Linked DNA regions of Styela clava. The protein of the gene in region 3 purifies or fractionates together with the protein of the main gene of each other region. This does not show direct contact. Links are inferred from orthologs where the notes say so. Each region holds a gene or a part of one and is shown on either strand. Other genes may lie near its edges.

Region 1 (7,276 bases), on a different chromosome or scaffold from region 3:
TCGAATTCGACAAATTTGGGCCGCTCTTGCAACACTTACTCCGCTCTATCGCAGGTCTGTCCCTGATTCTTTTTAACGTTTGAAATTTCCGGACAAAATACGAACGATTGAAATTTTTTAACTGCAAAAAAATTGATTGATATACTTCACAATAATTATCATCGCCACATAACGAGAAAAAGTCGCATGCGGTTCCTGCGGTGTTTTCAGAATGGGTAAAAGTTACATCGCGCGCATAATTGACCGTGTTTTGATTTCAGCGACTACCGTATAATTTCCGAAGAAAACCTGACATAACGCCAAATTTTGTGATTTACACGTTTTTAATCTGTCGTGGGTCTGCTAAAACAAAACTTATGGTCTTATCTTCCGTTTTATGTTAAATTTTAATATTTTATAATGCCGCTTTTCAATCAAGAAATTTGTTTTTCACACTGAACTTACAATTCCGTACGAGAACAAAAAAGTTTTTATCGTCGTCCTTGTGGAACAATACCTGCATATGCCAAGGAACTTTTGTGATTTGGGGAGAATAAACACCGCTGTACTACGCAAATAAATGTTATTCTTTTCTGTTTCGGTCATTTCAATTTTTTGCCGGTCCGCGAGTACTTTTATTTTAATTTTACTGGTCCACCAGGGTAGAAAGGTTGGGAACCACTGACGTAAACCACGGTCTAAAAAACAATCGGCGATTTCAAAATATACAATCGCACACGTTATTAGCAACGGTTTCAGTCTACCAAAAATATCAAAAGGGAAGGAGTTCGACCCCGAATTTATTGATATGTTTGTCAAGTGATAAAGCCCTAATACAGTCATAATATATATAATTTATCTGGGAAATTCAGATTTATTCATGGCTTGTATTAACCCTATTAAAAAAGATTCAACATTCAAATTAAGTAAAGTAATTTTAACTTACTCAGGAATATTAATCGGTAAGTAACACTGTGTTTTTTTTTATTGGTTTTTAAAAATGTTTGTGGGGCTGTGAATAATAGTCAACCTCTACAAAGGCTCTGTAGTTTGAGAATCCCTGGGCCTAAACTGATTAATCTTTTGAGTTTCGATTCAATGAACTAATGAGCAATAATTATATGTAATGGGATTGTTAGTGTCTAGGAAAGAAGAAGAGATTTTTCACCATTAACAAGTAAATATATATACAATATTGAATATAAAATCCGCAATTCGGATCATATCATTTTTGTTGGGATCAGTTTGTAAACAAATGAAGGTCACCGAGGCTTCTCATTCACAACGTTAATTTTTTTTAAGCATTTATGATAGGCTACGGTAAGAGTATACTACCCGAAATTATGAGGCAATTTTAATATAAGAAAAAAATGAGTCGGCAATAATTCAGAGAAGCTTTATGTTGTCAAGGTCATGTGAATGTTATCTTTAGATGTCTGTCAGTAGTTTATTTTTGCACATACTAAGAATACGGAAGTTTACAAACAGTAGGATAAAATATAAATAATGTATTTCAGCGTGAAGGGAGACGATAAACCAGTCATGGTTATCGAGCAGCGTCATCTAAATGGAAAGGGAGAACTGATGGGCACTGTGTTAAGGGCAAGCTCGCCTTGTACTTGTGCGGATTCAGCAATTGTCGGGCCAATGTTTTTTTTTCACGAATCCGTGTCTTGTGGGCTTTGCCCTGATGAATTTCCAACGAAACTGATTGTTTTTAAAAACGTGGCCAATAGATTCTCTTCATGAATCAAACGAAAAGTCTATAAGTATGTCAAAAAAATCAGAATCAGGCTGACGAAACGATTCAATTTATGCTACGTCGTTCTTGTTTGTTTGTGGGTAAACACACAACTGTTCAGGATGTTTGAGTATATTTATGGATATAACATAGACATCATAGATTGCAATACTTAGCAGCATGCAGTACGAGCAAGAGAGAGCGTAAGCAAGCAAAGTCAACGGTGACAAGTATAGCATTAATAATGAGGTCATAAATATCATCTTACAGTTCTCAATTTTGATTACATTACAAGCATGAGAGCGATGCTCAAATAAATAGACACGAAAACCAAAAAGAAGCAGTAGGCCTACTCTACCATGGAGGATAAGAGTTGAGTTAGGATATGCGTAGGTTTCCTTCTATTAAATTCTCTTTTCTGTACTGTACTGAGAGTTATGTTTTTATTTGCACCAAACCGTTTTTCAGTTTACGCTTAAACCTAAAAGTTGTAGGCACTGAAATATATTTAGGCGCACTGTGAAATCTATTTTTGGAAATACGGGACCCCAATAATTTCGAAGATTTTATACGAATCTTCGGTGAAAATAGTTGAGTAGCTTTGGTGTAAAGAAGCCGAGATGTCTGCATGCATATTGAAGTTTTTGGATCGGTAGTTGTTGCCAGATTTAAGTTAATTTTATGAATGACCTTCATTGGCAAATGATCAACATTACAAATTCTCAAATGTAAACTTTTTAAATTCGAACCAATTTTGTTACACAGCAAAGGGCAACGCTACTAGTTTTATGTTTGTTGTTTACTTTTTAGCTTTGTCTATTTACCAAAAAAATTGAAGCTAATCACTCATTATTAGGATTCGCATTCGGGCGCAGGCACCTTTGTATAACTTCTAATTGTTTTTATATTCTTTACCACTTTCGCTCATCAAAATTATTTACAATTTTACAAGTGGGCTTTGCCCGTGAATTTTATTTTCTCGTCTTCATGTACGCTTTTCATTATTGCATACCCGATATAGACTGGTAACCACGCGAGTTACCGGTTCGTCACACTTTCATTCATAATCATAGAGGAGTCCAGCAATCCTCTCGCACATAATAATCCCCTCGGGATTCGAACCTGCAAATGCACGCAAGTTAATCAGAGGTGCGGTAGCGAGCGCTTCAGCTCAACACGACGCGCCACACCGCCGTGGGTAATAATTCCAATAATGGTTATGGGATAACCTATGCGGACTGATAACCGAACGAAGGGCTCTAGTTAGCTGTATTACCAAGCAGTCTATCGACTTTTTATCCTCCCGAAGCAGGGCTCGCCAAGCCTTTTTAATGGTGGACCCCTAATTTTTATTCAAAGTGGGCCTTTTCCCCCGAGTGTTTCTTGGAAATATCCAAGTTAAAATCACTTGCTGTCTTGATAGAACTATTTAATTTTGATGCACTCAATATTATTACCCTGTACAATTTTGGACTAGTCACCTGGGGGTCCATCTGAACCACGTCCGGAATCCCTGTCCTAGGGTCTAGGCTAGGCCGTGGCTCGGCAACCTTTTGTAGCTCGCGGACCAAAATTATGGCCGCATATTTTTTTAGAAAAATAAAAACCGAACGAATGGCCGATAAATCACAATTTTCACACAGACAGAAGTGAAAATTTTAAATTTTAAGCAGCACGCAAAAACCGAGACAACTCATGAACTAAACTTCGTCATTTTACTTTCAGAAAAAAATTTACTATTGACATTTAACGTGACACTTTTTAATGCATCACGCTTGATACGTTTTCGACATCACACTAATTGGGAAACATTTTCAAATCGGACACTGGATGAAACCAAGATTAAAACATTTTATATAAATGGGAATCACTCATCCGAGTTTTCTGCTTGTTGGACACGTAGTGGACATAACGATCGTTTCAAAATTTTGTTGTTATTGTTATTATTTGTCTCCATCAACACGTTTTGAAGAAGTCGCTTTTCTCTTCGAATACTGGACCAATTGCTTTGAAATTTTCATTGGTTCAAGATAAAGGCTATTACTTTTTTTTCGCTATGACGTCATCAAAATTATGTGAGTCTACGTGTCCATATATTTGAGCATAGCTCTCTTGTTTTTTGTTATGTTCATTTTCGAAAATAATTGTTCGCATGCATATGTAGCCTACTTCCAAAAACATCAATGTGAATTTTTTCGCATGGTTAATTTTGTTGTTAATTTTGGATAGAGTTTTCCTCAAAGAAAATACTTTTTTATAAAAATCAACCAGTGATACACCTCTCGAATAGAATATAGATTTATTTCCCCAATGCGTTGCACCTCAAAAAGTCCATTTGAATACTTTTTGCGTGTTAGGTCATATTATAATTTAGTCTACACGTGACTCACAATAAACTCTGTTACCTAAAAAATATAATCGTCAAAGCAGCCGTTTTGTATCTATACTTCAGTGGAGCGTCGCGGGCCGAATTATTTCACTTTCACTTCAAGCCCAAAGCATGCCCGAATAATTACGAAGATCTTGGGTCAAAGGTTAGAGTAGGCCCAACATTTTCTGCTAACTTCACAGAGGTGTAGCTGCAGGGTTGTGAAACTGTAAACGCGTTTTCTCGAATATTTTTAAAATATTGTTCATTCTCACTATTGGAGGAGTAACACTTATTAAAATGGATGTGGATATAACGGAAAAGACTATTTTAAGGCCTGTAGCCAAGGATCCTTACGTAGAACTAACGCCGTACCGCGATCAGCATTTCAAGGGGAGTCGTGACCAACAAGACAAGCTTTTGAACCTGACTACAACGCTTTATGTTGGGAATTTATCATATTATACAACAGAAGAACAGATATATGAACTCTTTGGAAAATGCGGAGATATTAAACGAGTTGTTATGGGTTTAGATAAATATAAGAAAACGCCATGCGGCTTTTGCTTTGTTGAGTAAGTAAAGTTTTTTTGTGGGGTATAGTCAATTACACATCGTTTTCTCAAATTTTCAACAGTCATTTTCTTGGAGCCCTAGGAAACAAGATACGAGCCCTCTGGACTTCTTTCTTTAGGGTTATATAAAGTATATTGTGTATCGAACAAATAAACGGGACATGACCAACCTAAAACATATAATTTACAGGTCTGGTATAGTTTAGTACCACATGCACTTCTAGTTGGCCTGGCTCAACAATTTTTGCACATGTCAATCCTAACCCCCGCCTGACTACGTCACCGAAACATTACGTCATTTCGACGTCAAAGTGGCGTAAGAAGGCCCACCAAAGTATGCGGATGGTCGTCCAAAATGCGCAGACGATCACCCGAAATCGAGGTAGGAGGGAGATAGCCGGCGTTAGCGAGTTCGTTATCAGCGTCGCAGATGCCATTTCGGGCGATCTCAATTATACTTTGGCAAGCTCTATGACATGATGGTGACCTCGTCGTAGTGGATGGCATAGTCAGGTGGGGGTGAGGAATAACATATGCAAAATTCGTTATGCTACGTCCATTGGAAGTACTTGTAGTACTAAACTATACTAGACCCAAATTTCCAGTGCCATTGCAATCATTGATGAGGCTATGCTACAACGAACATGACAGGAAATTAAGTACCGTCTGGATGTGCTTTTTATAACTGATGGTGCCCGTATATAAGTGTATTAAATGTGTCAATAACAATTTTATGAAATACTGATTAACATAAAACAACCCTCATTGCGATATCTCATCATTTTACTATGTAATAATTTTTTTAAATTGTTAAAAAGCTTTATGGACACCCTGTACATTTATTTCAGATACTACGCAAGAGATCACGCTGCTGATGCCATCAGGTATATAAACGGAACGAGGCTTGATGACAGAGTTGTGCGAACAGACTGGGATGCTGGATTCAAAGAAGGAAGGCAATTTGGAAGAGGAAAATCTGGTGGACAGGTATGTTTTTTGCAGTTGTTTTGTATATTACAGAGGAGTAAAGACAGAGATAACCAGCACTTAATAATCCACTTCTCCAAATTCATTCTGAAAAAATGTTTCCCAACATCTTGGGTAATGCTTGCTACTTGCTAGGTAAATTCCTCAAATTAAACTCAAAAGCATGAGTCAAAATGTGGGTCTAAACTTGTGTCAAATAAATTTTCAATTGGTAATTTAAAAAAGTTGATTTAATTTATTTTTGGGTAGGTAATGACATCGAAAATCTATGCTGAAATGTTTTATCTGTGTCCTATCTGTGCAGTTTATTTCCTGATCATTTAATATTGAAGCTTTCAATCACAAATTTAATATCTTTGGAAAATGCACATTTCCAATTGTGCACGACTAGACTTTTTATGATAAAATTACATATTTATGTTTTTGTCTTCAGGTTCGTGATGAATACAGATCAGATTATGACCCAGGAAGGGGAGGATTTGGTGTCAGAGCTCAACTAAAACCAAAGAATCCTAACAAGTTCGGACAGAAAAATCAACAACAAAACTAAATAATCTTTCATGGCTGTCTGTGCCCTCTGTGGCAAGAGAAAAACTCTGCGAAGTTGTCGGATAACTGCTGTTACTCCATGAAATTGTACTTTTTATTTCCACCTATTTGGACAAAAAGCCATTTTTATGTAAGTTGGGTTGCAGCCACTATAGAATTATCTTGAAAACAAGTTATCTTTGTACGACCATATCGTTATCGTACGACCAGGGATGACCATTACCAAATTGTTTATTATTTTGAAATAACTTATTTGAATATGGCATACCGGAGGAATATATTCAAATTTGTCACCTTCAAAATTTGGTCCAAACATTTTAATGTATGGTAATCTTTTCACAACTTCTGAGTTTGAATTGAACTAACCTCATTTTTTGTCTGACAGTCTAATGGTATTTGCCAAAGATGACAAATTTCAACATGGAGCCCTCCTAAATTATTCCTGGAATAAAAGAACCTAGACATCCTTAATTAATAGAAAACTGGCAAGTGCATCTCTACACTAACAAATATTTGCAGCCTGGAGTTTTCATCAAATAACGTTCATGTTGGACATAATAAATATCCTGCTTGGAAGCAGGGTCAGAGTTTAGCATGTTGATAATTGAGTCCGGGCTGTATTTTCAAACGCTCTGGAGTCTGAATTCCCTAACGTCTAAATTTCATTCTCTCAATCGTAATTTTACTTAACCCGATCGGAGTTGTAGTCAAAATTATTTTCAAAAGCAGTTTGGAGTTGATTGTAAATTTGTTCCAGACACAAGCTTGAGTCAAAAAATAGCGTAGTGCTGTAAACTGGGCTTTGATGAAATCTGATATTGGGCAATATTATTCAAATTTATAATTAGCAAATGCCCATGTTCAAGGTTACTCTAATAACCCAACATGACGGAGCCTTAACTCCAGAAAGAACATCATAGCTGGTCGGTCATGACTAGTCACTTGTAACTGATGACATCGCTGTTCCTGCATTGGTTGTTTTCACAAAAATTAATTTTTATTACGACTTTTTCATTTTTATTAGTGTATTTCTCAAATTGGAATTGCGGAACTGAATTGTGCACAAATTCATTTCAC
Region 2 (7,185 bases), on a different chromosome or scaffold from region 3:
AAGTTTGAATAATATACCTGCTGTTCTAGCAAGCTTGCCAGCAATGTAGTTAATATGAGCTGCCCATTTTAACTGGTTATTAATGTGTATACCCAAGTATTTGTATGAGTTCACATTCTCAAGTAATATACCATTAATAGTAATTTTAATCAAATGCACACTTCTTTCATTTTTTTGGGGATTAATTAGAAGTGATTTGGATTTTTCAATATTTATAGTTAGTTTGTTACTAGTCATCCACGTTGCAATTTTTTGCATTTCAGAGTTCATGTGTATTTGCAAGTCATTTGGCGAGACTGAACTTCCAAATAACCCGGTATCGTCAGCGAAGAGTTTGACCAATAATCTGGTGGCATGAGGAAGATCGTTGACGAATAATACGAACATTAATGGGCCAATTATTGTGCCCTGGGGAATTCCGCATTGTACAGTTGCAAGTTCGGAGCAATTTGATCCTATTTTGACATATTGTTGACGTGAATATAAATAGCTCTGGAAGAATTTTGATGCATGACCGCGAATGCCATAGTGGCTCAGCTTTCTAACTAATATGTGATGGTCGACAGTGTCGAATGCCTTTTTTAGGTCGAGAAATATTGCACTGATATATTCCCTTTTCTCTAATTTATCATAAAAGTAAGTTACCACATCTAGTATTGCATGATTAGTAGAGTGCTTCTTTTGGAAACCAAACTGTGACTTATTAATAATGCTATTTCGATCTATAAATTGTGTTAGTCTGGTATGCAAAAGTTTTTCGAATTCGAATGTTATGGTCATAGTCGAAAGAACTGAAATGGGGCGATAGTTGGTTGCACATTCTTTGTCTCCAGCTTTGAACACTGGTGTGACTTTAGCAATTTTCAAACAATTGGGAAAAATACCATGGTCTAGGGAGGCATTAAACAACTTACACAGCATGGGAGACACTATATCAGCGGCGTATTTTAAAAATTTGGCAGGTATATTGTCATACCCCACTGCTTTGCCATCAGGAAGACTTGCTATGGTGGTAAATACTTCATTGATTGTCGTTGGTCTAAGAAACAAGGAATCTTTCACTGGATTCTTGAGATTATTCAAAAAAGAATCATTAGAATGGGGAATATTTTCAGACAGTTTCGGGCCTATGGTGGTGAAATAATTGTTAAGGTAATTGGCAATACAAATTGGATCACATACAGAGTGCGGTCGTCTGAGTGTTTCGGTTAGATTGGTGGGTTTTGAATGTCTGTGTGAATGCCTCTGGTCTTCAGGGATGTTTGTCTGTGTTGTGTGACTGTCGGATGTTTTGTGCTGGACAGTGGGCTGACGTAGGGACCATGTTATTGTTTTTACCAGTACAGTGCCATTACAGTTCATTTACCGTAGTGTTGTATTTTCAGTTTTATCGTGGAATTAGCTTTCATCAGTATTGTTCAAATGTTGTGCACCTATAGAATTGTTCATAGTCTTTTTAAATGCCTGTCATAAGTTACTTTCGGCCTGTTTTGCAAATTGCAGTAGCTAGTTTATTGTACCAGATTCTAGGGGTCATTTGGTTTTTATTCAGAGTTGTCTTGGATTTCAGGTTTTGTCAGTGCTTTTGTTGTGTATGTGGTCTTTCTTGCATTTTACTGCCTGGTACCGGTATCTGTTATTTTTATTTTATGCTTTTCGTTCCTTTGGGAGTGTTTGGTTGTTTTGGATCGTTTACTGTTCGAGTTGTTAATAAATGACATAAAATAGCATAAAGACTTGGACTATTGAGAGAAAACTTGACGTCAGATCATATTAGAAGATATTCTGAACCTGGATAATTATTTCATACATTGCCGGTACGCTACAAAAACAAAATAAATAAAACTGATTATAGAATCGGGAGAGCAAACAAAACCTAAAGTACAGAAATAATGTTTGAAACGTACAGATGGAAAGGTCTTGTTAAAAGAAGTACTACGTGTTCGCTCACCCAAAAGTATTGAAACTAATTCTGTAATTAGAGCATGCACACACACAAACCAGACAAACACACAATCACGGAGACATGATGAGATCAGAAGTAAAAAAAAGCCGAAACATAAAATCAATTACCGGTACTTGAAAAAGTGAAAATATAGAAACAAATAAAATAAAGTTTTGCCACCCCATATTAATAGTTTTACGAGGATTGCCAAATTGGATAATGGTAACGTACCGTATAGGTATATACTGTGTATGGAATCTCAATTATTTCTTGGACATTTTTCACAAACTTGATATCATTTCCCTATTTTGACTTTTATTCAAATCTTGGGTCTAGTATAGTTTAGTACCACAAGTACTTCCAGTTGGTGTATCAAAACGAATTTTGCATATGTTAATCCTAACCCTCACCTTACTATGCCATTCAAAAAATATGTCGATACGACGTCACAAACACGTCATAGGGCTATAGTAGAATTACGATCGCCTGAAATGGCATCTGCGCCGCCGATAACGAACTCGCTTACGCCGGCGAGACTAATAAACATACCAGTACATACATACATCGTGATCGTTATGACGTGAAAACGAAAGAAATAGCTTACTCGATTTCGGGTCATCATCTGCGCGTTTTGGACGACCATCCGCATACTGTACTTTGGTGGGCCTTATTACGCCAATGTGACGTCAAAATGACGTAATTTTTCGGTGACGTAGTCAGGTGGGGTTTAGGATTGGCATATGCAAAAATTGTTGAGCCAGGCCAACTAGAAGTGCATGTGGTACCAAACTATACCAGACCCCAAATCTTGCAGACTGGATGCAGATTTTTTGTAACATACCGGTACCGGTACCGTACCGTAGTCTGATAATAGTCTACCGCACTAACCTGGAAGATGATCTAGCCTTTTTTCGTCCTCCGTCGGTAGTGTCATTCGTTGCTTTTTCACGCCCTCGAGCTGGACTTGGTGCCATTATGCTATCAAAGTGTTTACAAACAAATATGCAAAACGTGCTCGCGCCGAATACTTGCTTCTGTGCTTCGTAAAGTGGTAAAGCTACAAGCTTGTAGCAATGCGACCTTTGTGTGCGGCGAAGCAGAAAGTTCAATCATCTTTGCACGAATTTAGGCTAATTTCATGGCAAGAGGAAAAAATAATTGATTCAATATTATCAAACAAAAAGCTAAATAAGTTAAATTACATCAAAACAGCAGATGACCACATTATAAAAGGAATGCCCTTTTACAACAATATAGAAGAGATGAATTGAACTTAAAATCTGAAAAGCCTGTCTTTTCCCCGAGAAAGACAATATTTCATTGTTTTCGCATACCAATGGAGTGTGTTACCTGAAGTTTTTCACTCAACTCAAACCTAAACCTTATAAAGCCTTTTGACATTCAGGATATGATTGATAAATATGTCACTGCTGATTGGCATAAACATCCCGTGTCCTATTGTGACGTAATAAGTATACGATTTTGGGGTAATTGTAACTTTTTGCTTAAGTCGACATTTTATTCGGTATTTTTGGCAGCATGCTTGCTTAATATGCCACTAAAACGAAACAAAGTGGGTATCGTTACCCAAGACAACGACGAAGGACACAGGGTGTCATGCGGGAGAAAGAGGCGAGGGCGAAGATTTAGAAAATCTTCCGCTGAAGTAAGTTAACTTATTTTTCGATCTAACTAAATGAATGTAGTCAAATAAGTTGGTAAGAAGTGATGAACTTGAAATTATATTCTGGCTCAAAGTAATGCCAAGTGTACATATGCCGCATTTGTGAAGCAGAGTTCGAGTGCAACACCAATAGGGGTGGGTTGGCACACCTACACCAATCACGAGAGATCTTTCCAAGATAGCGAGCAGTAGTCTGAATATTTATCAAATGCTCACGAGTCAAATCAGACCGGGAAACACTGATAAAGATAGTAATAAAGATACCCTAGATACGCCACTGTCTGATATGGCTATGTGTTAGGACGGATCAATGAGCATATATACAATGAGTGGAAACTTGCAAAGATTTGCTCATTATGGCATTGTTCCCTGCATGTTTTACGTCGTCCAGCTAAATGGTTCGTTGCATATGGAGAAAACTCATTGCTCGCTGCCAAAATCCCTCTCTCCAGTAAGCATAGGCTCATAGTTGTATGCTTTCAGCGTACCATACTTCGAAACCCAAAATCAAATATGTATTGAAGAATTAAAGACCTCAAGTCAAGGTAATACGGCCAAATTCGCACCCGACTCGGCTGAAGCAAGGAATTTTGGCAGCGAGCAACGCGTTTTCTTAATATGCAACGAACCATTTAGCTGGACGACGTAAAAATGCAGGGAACAATGCCATAATGAGCAAATCTTTGCAAGTTTCCACTCATTGTATATATGCTCATTGGACGGATTAGCAAGCAAATTTATATTTCAACTTTAAAACAGAATCAAGGCGGCCTATATAACAATCAAATGAATTGCTTACCATGTCTTAGTTGAGTTTTCCCAATAAAAATATTATTTACTATACAAAATTTGTGAAATTCAACAAAAAGAAATGGCTACAGATTCTTACAATTTTTGCTCTCCATGATCTTTCAAAAATTCTCAAAACTTTTCAAAGTTTGAACCCATCACGACGGATTAGAAATCCGCTGCTTTCTCTTCCTCGCGTGTGCAGATTTTGCTCTTTGAGTGTGGACTGAGCCTTAAACACGCTCGTTCATCAGCAATGGCGGTAATGAAAATCCAATGATATTAACATCGAAATAAACATAAAATTTTCGTGAACATCAGAATGTCTTCAAACTTATCGAACACTAACAAACCAGTAAGTTATATGTGAGCCGAACGCGAACGCTGGTGGCTCGGCATGATGAAGCAAAGTGTAGAAGCTGAAAAGAAGCGTAAGAACCCAGAGTTTGAACAACTTCAGTGAACAGATCACTTGACTGTGTCAACATCACTTTCATAATATTTATATATATCTTCTATCCGGAAAATCGCTGAAGTAAAGGTTTTATCAGTACTATAATCCTTTTTCAGAGTAGAATGCGTATAAAACGCATAAAAGAATTAGGCTCTAATGCCTCCGTGAATATTCGTCAATTAAAAGATCAATCTGATATTCCACAATTTTTTAATTGGCCGTTGTTCTCCATGGCCATACCAGCGATTTTCCTATACCTCCTGTAGAGGGTGAACAGTTTCACTGAAATTTCAAACACTGAAATTTTGCAGTCGTTACGCAAGGGATATCGTCCATCCCAATCGCATTTTCATTCTTTTATGTGCTACTATGAGTCTCAATCGAGAAGTATGTATCAAATACGCGTACTTGGAGTAGGACAGAATCACTGCTTCTATTTGGGCTTCTAGTAAATCCCATCCCGAATAGGAGCGACTACTAACTCGACTGGTAATACATATTTTGACTAGGTAATAACAGAAGTTAAGAGTAGGCTATGATAATTGTGTCGTTTCCGGGAGAAATTACGACTCTCGACTTCTGGTTTGATGTCACTACTCCACCCAATGACGGGAAACTTAACGGCCCCACGAAGTTTAAAATTCGGAGTTTTAAATCTAGTTCCCAGGCCCGTTTTACATATTCAATGATATCAAGAAAGCATTCTTGAATATTAACGTTCTCGCAACACATTATTCAATTTTGTTAAATTAATTTCTTAGAAACAAGATGAAGCTTCATCTTATTTGACTGCGGTGCATTGTATATATGCATTTGCTTCATGGTTCGGCAGAGGAATGGTGAAGGCTAACAAAGTCTTGGTGAGTCCGGAAGATATGTAATCAAAAGTATATATATATATATATATATATATATGTATGATTTATATATATATAAATGATTGTATAATCCAAATACTATCGGATATTTTTCTGATGTAAAAGCATGCAACATGATACTTTATATCAGTCACTTTTACCAACAGAACCGTGGTCACGATGAATTTGTAAGTAATAGAATACATATAATTGGAATGTATGTATAGGCCTATGATGTGTTCATGTATATGCTTGTGGGTGAATCCTTGATTTCGTATTACAATACCTATATATGACAAAGTACTCTCAGTTCAATTCATTCATGTTAAATACTTCTATCAGACATTCTCTCAATGCCGTAAATTGTCGACCGTGGACATCGTGGACGAGGATGCTCACAGGGCCGACAAGGTATTATGGTATATATATCGTCTTTTATTGGTTAGAATAACGCTCTGCGATATATGGAATCTGGTTTATTTTACGAAACACTTCAGAGTTAATTTTTCAAATCACTACATCGATATGCATTCTGAAAACCATCACCCCCTCTTCAAGCGACAGTGTTATGATGAATCAACATGGTCGTAATACCACAAATAAAATAACAATTTTTATGGCGTGGTGCATATCGCTTCCGAGTTCAAGCTTTCTATTCAAGTCCCAAGGTCTGATATGTTTATTCAACCACTATTCGTTAGACTGTTAATAATCAGTTTCAGTCTGAAATAGTCAACGTGCGATGCTATCGTGGTTTTGCTGGCATCCATCAATTCCAAATGCATGAATCCACGAATGAATGTTGTTTAATAATTAATGTACACAGATTCCAAATACTAAAAAGACTCAGAACGATACCGGGATTCAAGAAAATGGAAAGAATCATACCGGAATCGGGTAAACAATCGGCCCTAACAATCACTGACCTCTTTCAGAGAGAGAGCCTTGTTTTTCTATGATACATACAGTTTAGATAAAATGCAGCCTAACAGTTCAATTAGATTGCGATCTGTGCAAAAATATAAATATATTATTTCAGAAATTAAAATAATTTTTTTTTATATGAATGATTTTTGTGCAGAACATCTACGTCCGGGGACGAGCAGGTCCGTGAGAAATTTTCAGAAGAGGACAATGCTCTTTTCCCACCACCTGTAATACCCGATGTTGCATTGCCAACCTCGAGGTTAGAGTTTCGCCAAAATTAGCTAAACAGGCCATGATAGATTAGCAGATATCACAACTTTTTATCAATGGCCGAGAAAGAGTTATTGAGTTCGAGAGTGATTTTTGATATTTATTAATTACAAAATGGCATTTTGCTCATAATTAAAAAATAATTTTCTATAAACTATCAGGCTATTAATATTATTCCAGAAATACCAGTAGTGACGACGTCGGAAAACTCTCTACAACGAATGTTGGAGAATTGGCGTCTGCATTATCGACTTCTCAC
Region 3 (7,835 bases):
ATGGACATAGTAACTGTGACATCACAGACAATTTCCAGGAATGCCAGTATTCAGAGAAGAGTTAAGTACCTTTTTCAATGCAATGCAAAAAATTCAGAATGCGACTTCTGCAAGAAAAGTCGCCCCTCACCTGATCTAGATAAATAATTTGGGTAACTAGGTCTATCGATCAGAAAAAACAGAAATATTTTATATGTTATACATAACTAAATATCAACACCTTAGTTCTTGCGTAAGACTCGACAATCAAGAAATGTTCTATTATTTATTGGAAGCAAATTTTCAATCGAGTAAACAATTAACCTGTATGGCTGGTGGAAGATATCTGTAAACATCATAAATCTGTTCTTTAAATCCTTTGTTTAACATTTCATCTGATTCATCAAGAATTAGAAGTTTGATGGCACGAGTACGAAGATTTCTTCTTCTTATCATGTCTAAATAAAAAATGTTTTGTGCTGAATAATTGCAATAATAAGTTTCATTATACAATATCACTGCTACAATAACAACAACAACAACTTATCTAAACAATCCAAAGGTTCACTTCGTGTTCAAGATTAATATAAACTTCTAACCAAAAACTCTTCCAGGTGTTCCAGATACTATGTGTTGACCATAATCAAGTTTTCTGATGTCCTCTCCAACGTTGGTTCCACCAATACAAGAGTGACATTGAACGGACATGTAATCGCCGAGTGCAAGAATAACCTAGAAATAAAACTTGTCTTGATTATAAACAAATCATTGAACGATTAAATTAATAAGATTATGGTAAATGAAATCTTTTTGAATAACAAACATGCTTATTTAAATTTTTAGACTTTATTAGGTATTATTTAACTCTTGGACCAAACACAAACAAACAAAAAAATTAAATTTACTTTAAAATCTCTTATTCAATGTTTGGATGCTTTTTCGTTATTTAATAATAGCAATAAGGTCATAGCAAACTAGATTAATTTTTTTTCTACTCAGTGAAAATATAATTAACACAGTTAAGGCTTCTTCTATAGGTTGTATAGGTACAGCAACGTGCGCTCACAAACATACGCAGTAACTCGTATTTTTTGCCTAATAGTTCTGCAGATAGCTGTTGAATCATTTTAGAAATATATTTTCCCTCTTTTTTAGCGGCCACAATACAAACGTGAACGTGGGTCAATATGCGCCTTGGTTATGAACCGGATTTCCAGCCCATCACCATCCGTTAATTCTGGGCGGCTATTTAGCAATTCTTACATGTCATGTCAATATGAAAAATAAAAAGCTTTTGACTGCAATGCTTCCCCATAATTCCAGATACTTCTAGCTGTACACTTACTATGTCGCAAGCGCAAATGGTGGAGAGATGCCACTCGTCAATACAATGAGGTACATCTGCTTGCAATTTAGTAGTACATATAAAAGTTCTAAAATTCTACATGCTTTCATTTATTCCTTTTTAGGGAAAAGATTGCCTGTAATAAACTCGATTTAAAAGAGATATTGATGAAATCACTTGGGGATCCCTTGGGTTGATCCAGAGTATGTTTCATTTTTAGGCGAATCAAAAACTCAAAAATATTGCGCTCACACATATTTTAATGTACACATGTATACCAAAAAGGATAGATAGTTTGAAGGTGACTGGCGCGACATCATACGAGGAAGATTGTTGCAGATCTAACAACGAATTTTAACCAGTTAGGGTATGTACTGTGATTTATAGAGGTAAAAATACAAGCATAGGTGCAAATTATTATAAACAGAATTGGTTATAGACTCGGTAAAAATGACGTGGACTCGAAATCCAAAGTCCAAAAAATGCGTGGATTCGACTCTAACCCGAGCCCAGATCGAAATCTTGGCCCATCTCTAATGAAAAGTTGTCATATTCTACTTTGTTTACACTCACCTTTTGTATTTGTTGAGCGAGCTCTCTAGTTGGAGCAAGAATAAGAGCTTGCGTTTCTCTAATTGAAGTATCGATCATTTGGAGACATGAGATTGAAAATGTTGCTGTTTTACCAGTTCCAGACTGAGATCTAAAAATTTTATTTCAGTATTTTCAGTTTAAGTCATCACTTTAGTACAACATTTATAGGCAATAGGTAATAACCTATATTCAATATTGTTACACAAAAAAGACAACAAAATAAAACTTACTGAGCGATCACATCCCGGCCTTTCATAATTTGCTTGATAGCTCTCTGTTGAATGGCTGATGGTTTCTCAAAACCTGAAAAAGTCGTCTGATTAGTGAGTAGCAGATTTTACAAATCAAAATAATAGATAGCTTTCGAATCACTACTCAACCATTGCTGATTCTACAGGGGATCATGAAGGAGCTAACTATATCAAAATCAAATTCCAGAAACCCATGTAAGAATGAACACAAAAATTAAAAAGAGAAATTTGTTATAAATAATCAAATGAATATAATCTTTAGGCAGATCTATAAATGCATGGGATAAAAGAAAACTAGTTTACACTTCATGTTGTATTTCAAGGCTAATATGTTACCATTACACTGTTTGCACCAGGTGAACCAGATTCCAAAAATCCAAGTTTTGGAGAACTTGTATAAAGTCCTACTCCTTCCCACCAAGTGTTCAAAAATTTGTATACAGATAGTAATGTTGTTAAGTTTTAATTAACCAATGTGAGTTGGAAGAACCTGCATTTTGATTAATACCAATCAATCTTAACAGAATTGCTTTGTATTTAAATGTTCATTCAAAATCCCAAAACTCAAGTTTCAAATGATTACCCCACATACCATAAGCATAAATTCCTCTCAGAAGATCATCCCGTAATCCCATTGAGTCGAATGTTGGAGTGACATCAACTTCTTCGGATGTTTCGAATTCAACCTTACTCAAATCATTATCACCTCGACCTCCAACACGACGTTGGACAGATCTTTCTTGATTTCGACCTGCCATCTCAGAATGCTCCAAACTACTCAACTATAGGTTAATTTGATTTTATCTGAGAACTGATATATGGTTGTAGCTTATAGTGTAATATTTAGGATGGGATTTACACATTTATCCCGGGGGAAGGCAATAAGGAGGCTTAACCATAAGGCGAACCACGGTCTCTCGTCCGGTTAGTAGGTATTTCATGTCGGGTATGGGATTAGTTTGTTATGTACCTGATGATGGAGGAAGCCGTTAACTCTGTAATTGGTAACCGTCCAGCGGTTACGTGAACCACCCTACAGCGGCGAGTAGTTCAGCATTCCTCTCGCACATACCTTCCCCACATGGGATTCGAACCCACATAGAGTAATCAGAAGTGCAGTTGCGAGCGTATTCCTAACGCTTAGCAGAATCTGACAATGAGCGGCAGTCTGCGCTGTTTTCCTACTCTGTAACTTCTCTATGGTTGTGTGTGTGTGTAACTTATTAATTTCAGGTGATGAACACATAACACTTCTTCTTGGTAAAACATTCCATCTTATATTCTGTACTGCTGTACGTTTCAAACCTTGTCTAAGGTTGCCTTTGCTCTCCTGATTTCATAATCAGTTTTTATTTATTTGTTTTTATCAATCATTTTATTGCCTGTTACGCCTGTACGCTGATTACCCATACCGTATAGCTGTATGGAGTGGAAATGAACTTATAAGGTACGGTACTTATATACAAATCAGCATGAGGCCAGGATGTTAAATTGGGATAAATTCTATACCGATAAGTTAGTCTTAAACAATACTGCAATAACAGCAACAACGTAGTAATACTGTAATAGTTTCAGAAATAATGTTACCGGCAATACAGTAATATTTAGGCCTATAGTAGTAGTAGTAGTGGGAGGCGAACAACTCGACTACTCGGACAACGCACCAGAGACAACTCGACGACCTAGAGGCCTGGTGAGTTGTCAGTCTTTTGGCATTTGGAAAAGTTTTTAATATATTTAAAGATGCTCATTCAAAACATTTAATACCAATAAAGTTCAAAAAATTAAACGAACACAGTCCTATAAGTCAACAGTCTAACTTCGCTAACCTCCAATTTCGCCTGTAGACTGTATTTGTATTCATACAACATGATCAAAATAAGCCACTCATACAAATAAAAATGCTTTCTAGAGCATATTTATGTATTTTTCTCAACATTTGAGCACTAAAAATATCAAAAACGCATTTCTATAGACCTAAAACACCACCGTAGAAAATGCCAAAAGACGACAACTCACCAGGCCTCTAGGTCGTCGAGTTGTCTCTGGTGAGTTGTCCGTGTAGTCGAGTTGTCCATCAGCCGTAGTAGTCTAGTAGTAGTATTTTATTTCGTCAACATGTCAAACAGTTTACATGCAACATTTCAAAATTAAATTCAAGGCATTGTGACGATGATAGCAATCTCGTAATACATTAATAGGCATTTTTATGCTGATGCTACAATGCAGAAACAGACTAGAGACTACTAAATGCCGGTACTGGAATACTCTACCACAGTACCACAATAAACTGATAAAGCTGCTAAAAGAACATCAGTTTCAGTGTATGAGGCAAGTTCAGGCAAAATCAGAGGGCAAACATCAGTCCAGCAGTCACAATACTGCAATAAGTTCTAAGTTTGGAATATAACATGCCGACATATTGACATAAACCAACATGCCAGTCCGATAGTACTATCAGAATATTGCGCTTGGGATTAATATAAACCTTGAAATTATTCCCGTATGGTCAGACGGTACCGTACCGGTACCGGTACAAGGTACCGTACGGTAGCCTCTCATCAAGATAATTACCATACCTGAAGCTGGGGAACCAGCAACATTGCCTATTCACTCACAACCTCATCGTGCACAACCTAAACTTCTGAGTTCTGGCTCACGGCCCCAGGATTTGCTCTTGAATTCGAAATACATGAAACAATAAGAGACAAACAAATGGCACTGGAAGAGGTTCACCTGAAAAATGGCTATCATGCAGCTCTCGGGCGCCGCATATCGAATAAAAGAATAATGAACTTAAATCGTTTCAATCAACAAAAAATTATCAAATCAAAAAATAAAATCTAGTTAAGTCAAAAATTGCGTCAAAACCAACATCACACATATCTCGTTTTCCCATCGCGGAAAATTCATTCAAATCATAATGGCTTTGCGCCCCAACACGGTTTGGTCTGCAGCAACCGAAAACATCTGCCGCAGCAGGCCCCCTAGATTTCGAATTTAGTGTATTTTCAATGGGTAGATCCACCAGATGGATTCCTAGTCTCTTTGTGCCAATATTATTACGGTATGTGTTTTACCGTTGAAACCTTCACCAGCAAACAGGCAACATGTTGCTATACATTTCTTAGTAATATTGGCATTGGACAGGCTTGATGTCAACAGCCAGAATGCATTTGTATTGGGATTTACACCGTGTTGGAAAATTTGTTTGATACTTTTACCATGTTCTGTTTTTCCTTTTTATTGGTTCAAAAGGTAATTGTGAACACCTAACATATTGCCTCTTATGCTGTTAATTTGCTGCAAGTCACTGAATGATATAAATGTTGGACATTTGGTCCAAACAGTTGAAAGTCTGCCTTTCAGAGTAGACGTAGAAAATACTTCTGCCCTTGTACCAATGGTGTAACAGCCGTTCTTTGTGACCTGGACGACACCGACTGCACACTAGATATTTATTAACAGTTCAATAACGCGGTCTTTCAAGCCCCAAGTTTGTATCCTCAATCCAGAAAATCACACAACTCGAAGTATACAGTTGACACGGTTAATCTTAATACAAACGTAAAAACAAATCAATACAAAATACTTGCAATAAATAAATAATCATACACAATTCGGCCTTTAGAAAGCCTACTCAAATTTATGCACACAATTATCAAACATCGTTTATTAAGTCGAACCAAATTACTATTGAATAACTTGCAGCCTTCAAATCAGAAAGAGTAACAAATTATAACATACCGAATTTGTCTGCTATTCCAGGCTTAAATTATCATAAGTTGAACATGAAATCATTCGTCAATGAAATCCGAACAAATTAATTAAATAAACTATAACTGTAAAATCAATCACAAAAGGCCATTTAATGCTCATAAAATATCCCTAAATTAGGCCTAGGTGGGCAGCCATAATCTACATTATTCAATCGTCCTACAGTCAAAACAGAAAGCCAAGGTCGCTGAACAAGTTTAACTTATTTACAAATTACAACGAAACGAGCGCCATTCTCTGCAAAAGTAAAGCGCTATCTAAAGCAAATTACCGACACTATCCCTGTCTAAGCGAGACATGTCTGGGCAAGCAATTGCCACGAAGACTCTCTCAATTGTTTCGTAACAAAGTGTGTGGAAGCACACTGTCAATCAAGGGAAATTACGGCGTCAACAATAACAAATAAATTACTACACAAGTTAAACGGACGCAATGTTTAAGTCAATACAAAAATCAAGTGAATGCGATTCTCGATGTAACATTCCCCCAGCCAGATGTTGGAACCCAGTGAAAACATCTTACTCACAAATTTCTTACATCGAGGATATCACACACTTGAAAAAATTTTACTCATTAACTCTATGAATCAAGCACAGCTTTGCAATTGGCCTTCTCAATAAACCCCTGGATGTCTTCACAGTAACTTGACGCACAGCTCCAAGTTTATCAGGTGTAGTTTCCATAACACGTCCAGTCTGCCACTTCCCCCTGGGTATAGTATTGTCTACAAGTAGCACAATATCACCAACTTCCATATTACGTTCTTTAGAGGTCCATTTCTGTCGTGTCTGAAGTGTGGGTAAGTATTCTTTGGTCCATCTGATCCAAAACTGATCAGCTAAATACTGAATTTGTCGCCATCTTCGTCGAGTGTAACAGTCCTTTTTTGTCAAATATGCCAGGAGGTAAATTACTTGTAGGATTCAGTAACAGCAAGTGATTTGGAGTGAGTGGCTCATCATCTTTCGGATCGAAACTTATTGGAGTGATGGGTCTGGAATTCAACTGTGATTCCACTTCACAAAAAATAGTAGCCAAAGCTTCATCTGACACCAACTGATCGTGTAAGAGAGCAACCAAAATCTTTCGAACTGATCGAATTAATCTTTCGTAACATCCTCCAAAATTAGAAGCAGTAGGTGGATTGAATTGAAATTTAATATTCTCCTGACGCAAAAATTGTCCAACTTTGCTTGAATTCCAAATTTCTATCTCCTAACGTAGGATTTTATTTGCTGCAACGAAGTTACTACCGTTGTCACAGATGAACTTGAATGGTCTACTTCTACGTGCAATAAATCTTCTTAACGCATTTATGAATGAATCTGCATCCATCGAGTATGCAACTTCCAAGTGTACGGCACGAGTTGTCATGCATGTAAATATACAGCCCCACCTCTTGACAGTATTTCGTCCTTGCTTCACAAGCAAATGTCCAAAGTAGTCCACTCCAACATACGAAAATGGTCTTTCAACTGGTGTGACTCTTTCTTTCGGAAGATCTGCCATAATCTGTTTACTCACAGGTGAACTTCTTCTTCGACAAAACATGCATTTTCCGATAACAGATTTCACCATAGCGCCTCCTTTAACAATCCAAAATCGTTGTCTCAGAGAAGCCCATGTACTCCCCATACCAGAATGATGTGTAGATACATGATGTTCTCTTATAATCATCTCAGTTACATGATGTTTATGTGGGAGTATAATCGGATGTTTAACATCAAAATCAACCGGTGCATTTCTCAATCTCCCACCAACTTTGATGAAGCCATCTTTCATAATCGGATTGAGTTTATGCAGGAAATTTGCAATCTTCAATCTCTTAAGTACTTGTTTTCCAGATGTACTTCTGTGATTGGCTTTCTGCAGGGCATCAATAACTTCGC
Region 4 (7,113 bases), on a different chromosome or scaffold from region 3:
CTACTTAAACCCTAACCCCAAATCCATCAAAACTGCATTCATAGGATAGGATAGGATTTACATATTTATCCCGGGGGAGAGGAAAGCCGATAAGACGGCTTATCCATATGGCGAACCACGGCCTCTCGTCCGGTTACCATTCCAAGTCGGGTGTGGGATTAGTTATATATTGTTTGTTTTCGGAAGCATGGACTTGGTGGTAGAGGAAGCCGTGACCGACCAGCGGTTACGTGAACCACCCAACGACGGCGAGGAGTCCAGCAATCCTCTCGCACATAACCATTCCTGCATGGGATTCGAACCTGCGAACCCACGCAGAGTAATTAGAGGTGCGGTGGCGAGCGTATTCCTAACGCTTAGCCCGTTGAGCCACACCGCCGCGCCGGTTCATAAGAAAAACGTTCCAACCTACCCAATATTTGCCACCATAAGGGACAGCCCTGTCTTTACGGCCCACCTGCCGCGGTTACGGCAGCAAAATTTCACCTGCCATTGGTTTTCAATTTGCTGCCGCGGTAACGGAAGCTCGTCATTGGTTTGTGGCAGCTAAAAAGTCAGTCGCCAATCGCCATCATTGAGGTTTATAGGTTTGGTCGTAGCGGCCATGGTATGGAAATACCGCTATGATTTTGCGGCAGCTGCAGACGCCACAGAATACTTAAAATTGCACTTGCCGAAATGGCATCTCCCCGACGATGGCGAACTCGATAACTCCAGAGATCTCTCTCATATCGGGATCGTTGCGGGAAAAGGAGAGAAACAGCTTGCTTTATTTCGGGTGATCCCATTTCCAGAGAGCCTCTGTTTGTTTTAGCTTCGTCCAAATTGACTATAACACTTTTTAGTCACTTTGGCTTCGTCAGTCTGCTAATCAGGTTTTGTTCGTCAATTTGTTTGGAGTTTGTTACCGTTTTATATTTTATCAAGGTAAGTTTAGCATTTTTCTTTTGCTATTCGCCTAGTGGAACAATACTGGTATCATGCGGTTTCATGAAAGTTGCGATCCGTTTGAGTTATGCAACTTTGAAACCTCATATCTCCCGAACCTTATATTATATTGAGACAATCTAGATTCTAGGAGTAGGAGACTAATTATAATCATAAAATGGAGATAAAATGTCGCAATTAACGTACAGAAATCGGAAAATTGAAAAGCGTGAATTTCCTTTTTTCGAAAAGTCTTTGAATTAAATAACAAAAACTTCGATTCGTCCTTGTTTCAAACGGTATCATTAGATTGAATTTATCCTGCATCAGTAAAATTTTATTCAATGTTCTCATAATCTTCACATGTCCGCTGCGCGAACTTCGAACCTATTTGTGCGTCTTTGCAGCACATTGGATCTTCTGAACTAATTATTACAGTATTACTAGACTGTATTAGCGGCGAGCACCTACCGGTAATCCGGTTAAGTCGTACCCTTGCAAATTGAATTTTTTTTTTTGAAAAGTCTTTGAATTAGATAACAAAAACTTCGATTCGTCCTTGTTTCAACTTGGACCTTGTTTCGGATGGTATCATTAAATTGAATTTATCCTGCATATTTCAAACGGGACATAACCCTAAACCTGGACACCATTATATTATAAGGATTTTTCCCAATATCAGTGGATTCCCGAAGTGCGAAATAAAACCTAGTTTTCTTCAATCTAGTCTAGTGCCATATTTATGTACATCTTTTAGATGAGTAAAATAGTTCCCAATAGCAAGGGGAGGAAACCATTTTCATGGCGATGCATAAATTTTGCTATTTCCAGAGTATGCATTTCTGAGAGCTGTAGAATTGTATGCTGACAGTAAATTTGAAGGTTGGTCGCGCGACTATTCTCAGCAAATGATATACACCTTAGTAGTTTGTAGAACTTAGACTGACTGTAATGAAGGGTTAGATGCTGATCACCCAACTAAGAATTCCATATTGCGAGCGGCACGTAGCTAAAAAAAATATTTAATAGAAATGATGGTTTGAACATGTAAAATAGTTTGTAGAGGCCAACTCGCTAAAACACTCCAAAATAAGTATAATTTTGCAATAACGAAGATCCATTTATGGATGGTGTAGGACAGGGTTTTCCCAAAATAGGGTCCGCGGACCACTGGAGGTCATCGACGACTACACAGAGGTCCGCCGCAGTATCAAGTGTCTGAAATATAGGGCGACAGCTGATGCTGATGACCATGTATGGTCATATCGCCCAGTCTATATCGAACAACTTTGTTAATACTGTACTGTACATCAGGGGTGTGCAACCTGCGACCCGCGGGCCAAATGCGGCCCTCAGGGAAATATTGTGCGGATCACGAAATGAATTTTGAATAGACACAAGACGAGTCCACAATCAGTCGGATTCGGCGAATCCGAGTAAAAAAGTAATGGACTCGAGACGAATCTTTTGAGCTCGTTGATTCATAATCAAAATGTGAAAAATACGTTTTTGACTTTATTGAAACAATGCGCGCGTGTACGTCAGCCTTTTTTCACATCATCTTGTCAAATTGAGTCATAGGTAGCTGTAGAACTATTTTAGGAGTATATTTCACTCATTTTTGGCCACAATATAACATTTTAAGCGTCTATTTAATTAACACAGCTGGATTATAATGTCGCGTTTCGTGACCATCTGGAACCAAAAAAGCCGAAATTCGTCAATGCCAATATGAACTAAAATAGCTCCCCGTCCCCGTAAATTTTGCCGTAGGCCGTACAATATGGAGATATAGAAGAAGTTATATTACTGAGTTGCATTTAATTATTTCTCACGTTCAGACACATTCTCACCACGTTTCAATTTTTGTCCCTGATCCACAGTGTTAATTTTTGTTTTCACATATATTTTGAAAGTTTCGATATAAAGTGCTAATTATTATCGTCAAAAACTCATTGAAATTAGTTGAGTAACTTAGTTGTCAACTAATTAAGTCTCATTTTTGGAGACATCGCATCAATTTCCATCACATTATTCTAACCGCTTTAGGTTATATTTTATTTAACGAATGCCGCCCCTCTTTGAAAACAGATATGTATAACATTGAAGTTACTTAAGAATCCTCTATGTTTGTTTTGGAAACTTGTAAAAATATTATTAAGTTTTGCCACTAGTCATCTTCCAGTGTGAATCTTAATCACATCAGTGCATATGGTGGGAGCTGACGATATGGTCGTATCGCTCCCTCCTGTCCATGCCGAAGCAATTTTATTGCTGTTGCTATTTTATTGATGACTGCATTTTTTGGCTGATGAAACAAAAAATCTTTATCTCTCCCAAGTATCGCTTGAGCAGAAGGTAGAGATTTGCCACTTGATTAGATCATACAATGTCATAAAATTTCAGGTACAAATACTACGGGAGTCACTTGGCTAGTCCCGAACTCGTAATATAACTAAAATAAGGAAAATCGGAATAAAATTATGGACTAACCCTAACCTGGTGCTATACTATCCGCCACATCTTGGTTCACATACTTTTGAAGTACCCAATTTTGAACAATTAAAAAGCCTTAATTTTTAAAAAGATAAAAAAAAATAACGATATATGGTTATACATATTGATCTGCTCAACAACGAATCTAATAATTATTATATTTTATTTTTATATCTCTTTTATCATTAACTTTTTTATCACCCATTTCAAAAATTTTGATGATGTCATAATATATTTTATATATCTTTGAAAGCCCGAATATGACTTCATAATGCATCCAACGGTGTTTTATGACGTCATTGTTAAAATTGGGCCTTACAACTGGTATAGCCTTAGAATCCGGCCACCACAGTTCATAGCCATGGGCGTTCTATGAGCCAATCCTTGTTTTCGGAACAATGACTTTACAGCAACAAACCACTTTACAGTAAAAGGTTTACGGCGACCTAATAAATAATATTTAACCAGTCGCTCATATCAAACATGTTATGCAATAACTCTTTTTACGTTCTATTCTCACTCAAGCATATTTTTAACGTCCTAAATATTGACTTGTTTTAGTGTATTTTTGGATTTTTTGCTGGTGTTTTTCTTCTCCCAAAATTCAAATAGGATATTTCATATTTTTCCCCGAGACAAAAGAACCACGAAATGATTTAATATGAAATGACAAATTCGTAAATTATTTGCATGTATGTGTGATTCGATTGCATTTTGAAATACGCCACTCGCCGTGTGCTTGATATGTGGATGGCGAGCAAATTAATCTCCTCATTTTGCTGTATTCATCCGCATATATTTCACTTGCCAGATTTTCTTATGGTATACAACAACAAGTGTGACGATGCTTGACCAAATATTATATTTGATAGTGCCAAAATAGGTAAAAAATACATACATAAGGCACAATCTGTATTAGTTTATTTTTATCCAAACAAAAACGGAATTGCGTTCAAATACGCTGACCAGCAACCGAAAAGTACCACGTTGTAAACTGACAACAGCACACGAAAGGCGGAAATGACGTTTGCCCTGCGGCCATTAAGAAGAACACAAGTTTCTTTCTTTGTGAGGCAGTGGTGCGAAATCACTTTGAGTTTCTGCATCGTCTTCTTGTTCACCTATGTTGTCTTTAAAGTATATCTCCTTTTTTGTAACAAATAATTGGTCTGCAGGTTTATACTTGGAATAAAATTGATTAAACATAAAGAAAATATGAGCCGAGATAGCAGAGTGTATGTAGGAAATCTTCCTCCTGATGTCAGAGAAAAGGATGTTGAAGACCTTTTTCACAAATATGGAGATATAAAATTTGTTGAATTGAAAAACAGGAAAGGGCCACCATTTGCATTTGTCGAATTTAATGATTCCAGGTACGGTACCATATGGCTGTATGTATAGTCTACTACCGTACCAGAATACTGATTTATGAACTTTTTTTTATTATTTTAACTATGCTTTCATACTGCAGTACTGTATTATAATCATGCTGTATTAGCTTTTTGAAGTATTTAATTTTGCAAAATCGGTCAGTTTTACTACTTTGCTAGTATAGTAGTATGCATACAATCAAGTCGATAATATTTCATGAATTTATTTACCAGGGATGCAGAAGATGCAATCAGAGGGAGGAACGGATATGATTATGATGGTTATCGACTTAGAGTTGAATACCCTAGAGGCAGTGGGCCGCCAATGCGTGGTGGCGGTCACTTTATGGGTGGTGGTGGCGGCGGTGGTGGAAGATATGAACCTGGTAGAGGCAGAGGAGGACCTCCATCCAAAAGGACAAACCACAGAGTTATGATCTCAGGTATATATTCGTTGCTTTGTACCTTTTATCACATAAACAAGAAGTTTTTCATTTGTAGAGAATCCAGTCTTATTCAGGTTTATGTTTATATTCAGGTTTGCCGCCTACTGGAAGTTGGCAAGACATAAAAGATCATATGAGAGAAGCTGGTGATGTTTGTTATGCAGATGTATTCAGGGATGGAACTGGAATTGTTGAATTTGTCAACAGAGAAGATGTGAAGTTTGCTGTCAAACATTTGGATGATACCAAATTCAAGTCTCACGAAGTAATTAGATCACAAATATATTTATTAAAGTCTCTCAAGCATATTTTACTAATGGTGTTTTTGTTTTTAGGGAGAAGTTGCATACATCAGGGTCAAAGTTGACTCTTCAGCTGGTGGTGGTGGTGGTTCTAGATCACGCTCAAGATCCCGATCTCGGTCCAACAGTCGAGGTCGTAGAAGCTTTGGAGCTCGTGGGGGTGGTGGTGGAGGAGGACGGTCTTCCCCTTCTTACAGCCCTCGCCGTCGATCTTATTCTCGCTCACCAAAACGACGTCGTTCTGCGTCTTACTCTCCTCGTCGTTCTCGATCAAGATCTCGATGATTTTAAATCAAGTTTTTATTTTTGTATATCAGTACAAACTGCCCAGTTAAAGTTTGATAGCATGTAAAAACATGCTGCGCATTTTATGAAAATGCAAAGCAAATTGTGTATACAAAATAATTCTCGTACCAAGCTGAATAACATTTTTTTGTTAATTTGTCTAGAACTTGGATCATCCATTACTGGAGATCATCTTGTCTAAAGAATATAGGATATCGTGAAATGGAATCACATGTCTTCAATTGGACTAGGATACTGAAATCCCTGGATTTTGGAATTTGAATATGATTGTAGCATTGGGAGGCCCGGAAGGAATTTATTTTATTTGATGTTTGTGGTTCCCTATCCAATCATTCTTATTAATTCTATTTTTGTTTGAAATTGACAGATCTTTGGATCCTTTTTGCGAATGGGGATTTGCCGCTAGTTGGATAGGATACCATTTCTTTGGATGGATTAGGATCCACGTTTGAAATTATGGAATCTGGAGAAAAAGGATTCTTTAAACTGTGCGCATAGGATTTGGATTTCTTAACGTATTAGGAATGAAAACATTTTTCGAAATTTAAGTATTGAAGGCTTCGTTTTGGAAATAGCATCATTGTTTCGGAATTTGGAGCTTCTGTGGAAAATGCTGGAATTTATTATCAGGAGTAGGTATTTGGTCGCTTTGAAACTAGTGCTAATCCCTAAGCGGTAATTTTAAAGTTATGGATTTAAAAAGTAGTGTTTTTATTTGTGAGATTTCTAATAAACCAACTGAGGCTGCAGTTTGAGACTTTTGAATTAGGATTGTTGCTGTGTACCTGGAACAATTGAGCCATGTCTTGAGTCTTAAATCTTGCTATCTTATCTTGAAATGTGGTAGTCTTCCTCTATTTGAACCTTTCTGGCATTTATGTGGAAATCACGATGAGCGCGCTGAGTACTGGGATACAGTCAGTGTTTGTAATATGTTTTTGTATGCGATTTATCGTTCAATCTCGCTCCAAGCAGATTTGTGGTAAGTATACTGAACTGAGTTGTATTTTATGTATAAAACCGGACAAGAAGAGTAGGATTGCAAAGCAGTTGTGGAAATTACTAGAGTTTCCTAACGTACAATCCCTTGGAAAAGTTGAAATTGACTTTTGTTTCTCAAAATTGCCATTACACAATCATAGAAAAAGTGGCTTGTGGTTTTTTTCAGCATAAAATTTCCAAATTCACCTAAGCAAGTTCGAATTTATACAATCTATGGTTTAGTCATAGAAGATCGCAACATAGGTGCAAAAGTCTGATTTGCGC

The links.
Region 1: the proteins of eukaryotic initiation factor 4A-III (region 3) and nuclear cap-binding protein subunit 2-like purify together in Homo sapiens (co-immunoprecipitation; 3 studies listed by BioGRID and IntAct, with this or other methods). This does not show direct contact. The link is inferred for Styela clava from reciprocal best matches to the Homo sapiens genes EIF4A3 and NCBP2.
Region 2: the proteins of eukaryotic initiation factor 4A-III (region 3) and uncharacterized protein LOC120331224 fractionate together in Homo sapiens (co-fractionation; 3 studies listed by BioGRID and IntAct, with this or other methods). This does not show direct contact. The link is inferred for Styela clava from reciprocal best matches to the Homo sapiens genes EIF4A3 and RNPS1.
Region 4: the proteins of eukaryotic initiation factor 4A-III (region 3) and serine/arginine-rich splicing factor 1B-like fractionate together in Homo sapiens (co-fractionation; 4 studies listed by BioGRID and IntAct, with this or other methods). This does not show direct contact. The link is inferred for Styela clava from reciprocal best matches to the Homo sapiens genes EIF4A3 and SRSF1.

Annotation. Positions count from the first base shown.
Region 1 is NC_135252.1:23,083,287-23,090,562, reverse strand, and holds the start of nuclear cap-binding protein subunit 2-like, read left to right. Parts: upstream 1-4,258; 5' UTR 4,259-4,388; coding exon 4,389-4,663; intron 4,664-5,511; coding exon 5,512-5,650; intron 5,651-6,083; coding exon 6,084-6,200; 3' UTR 6,201-7,276. UniProt on the Homo sapiens protein: Component of the cap-binding complex (CBC), which binds co-transcriptionally to the 5' cap of pre-mRNAs and is involved in various processes such as pre-mRNA splicing, translation regulation, nonsense-mediated mRNA decay, RNA-mediated gene silencing (RNAi) by microRNAs (miRNAs) and mRNA export.
Region 2 is NC_135255.1:4,593,730-4,600,914, forward strand, and holds the start of uncharacterized protein LOC120331224, read right to left. Parts: upstream 3,005-7,185; 5' UTR 2,920-3,004; coding exon 2,834-2,919; intron 1-2,833. Other genes in the region: uncharacterized protein LOC120331194, read left to right, coding at 3,498-3,611, 5,634-5,732, 6,072-6,140, 6,556-6,626, 6,811-6,915, 7,107-7,185. UniProt on the Homo sapiens protein: Part of pre- and post-splicing multiprotein mRNP complexes. Auxiliary component of the splicing-dependent multiprotein exon junction complex (EJC) deposited at splice junction on mRNAs.
Region 3 is NC_135260.1:7,932,618-7,940,452, reverse strand, and holds the start of eukaryotic initiation factor 4A-III, read right to left. Parts: upstream 3,003-7,835; 5' UTR 2,928-3,002; coding exon 2,762-2,927; intron 2,222-2,761; coding exon 2,149-2,221; intron 2,028-2,148; coding exon 1,898-2,027; intron 712-1,897; coding exon 579-711; intron 438-578; coding exon 304-437; intron 1-303. Other genes in the region: uncharacterized protein LOC120347980, read right to left, coding at 7,162-7,835. UniProt on the Homo sapiens protein: ATP-dependent RNA helicase. Involved in pre-mRNA splicing as component of the spliceosome. Core component of the splicing-dependent multiprotein exon junction complex (EJC) deposited at splice junctions on mRNAs.
Region 4 is NC_135257.1:13,133,132-13,140,244, forward strand, and holds serine/arginine-rich splicing factor 1B-like, read left to right. Parts: upstream 1-4,495; 5' UTR 4,496-4,638; coding exon 4,639-4,796; intron 4,797-5,027; coding exon 5,028-5,236; intron 5,237-5,331; coding exon 5,332-5,504; intron 5,505-5,574; coding exon 5,575-5,826; 3' UTR 5,827-6,596; downstream 6,597-7,113. UniProt on the Homo sapiens protein: Plays a role in preventing exon skipping, ensuring the accuracy of splicing and regulating alternative splicing.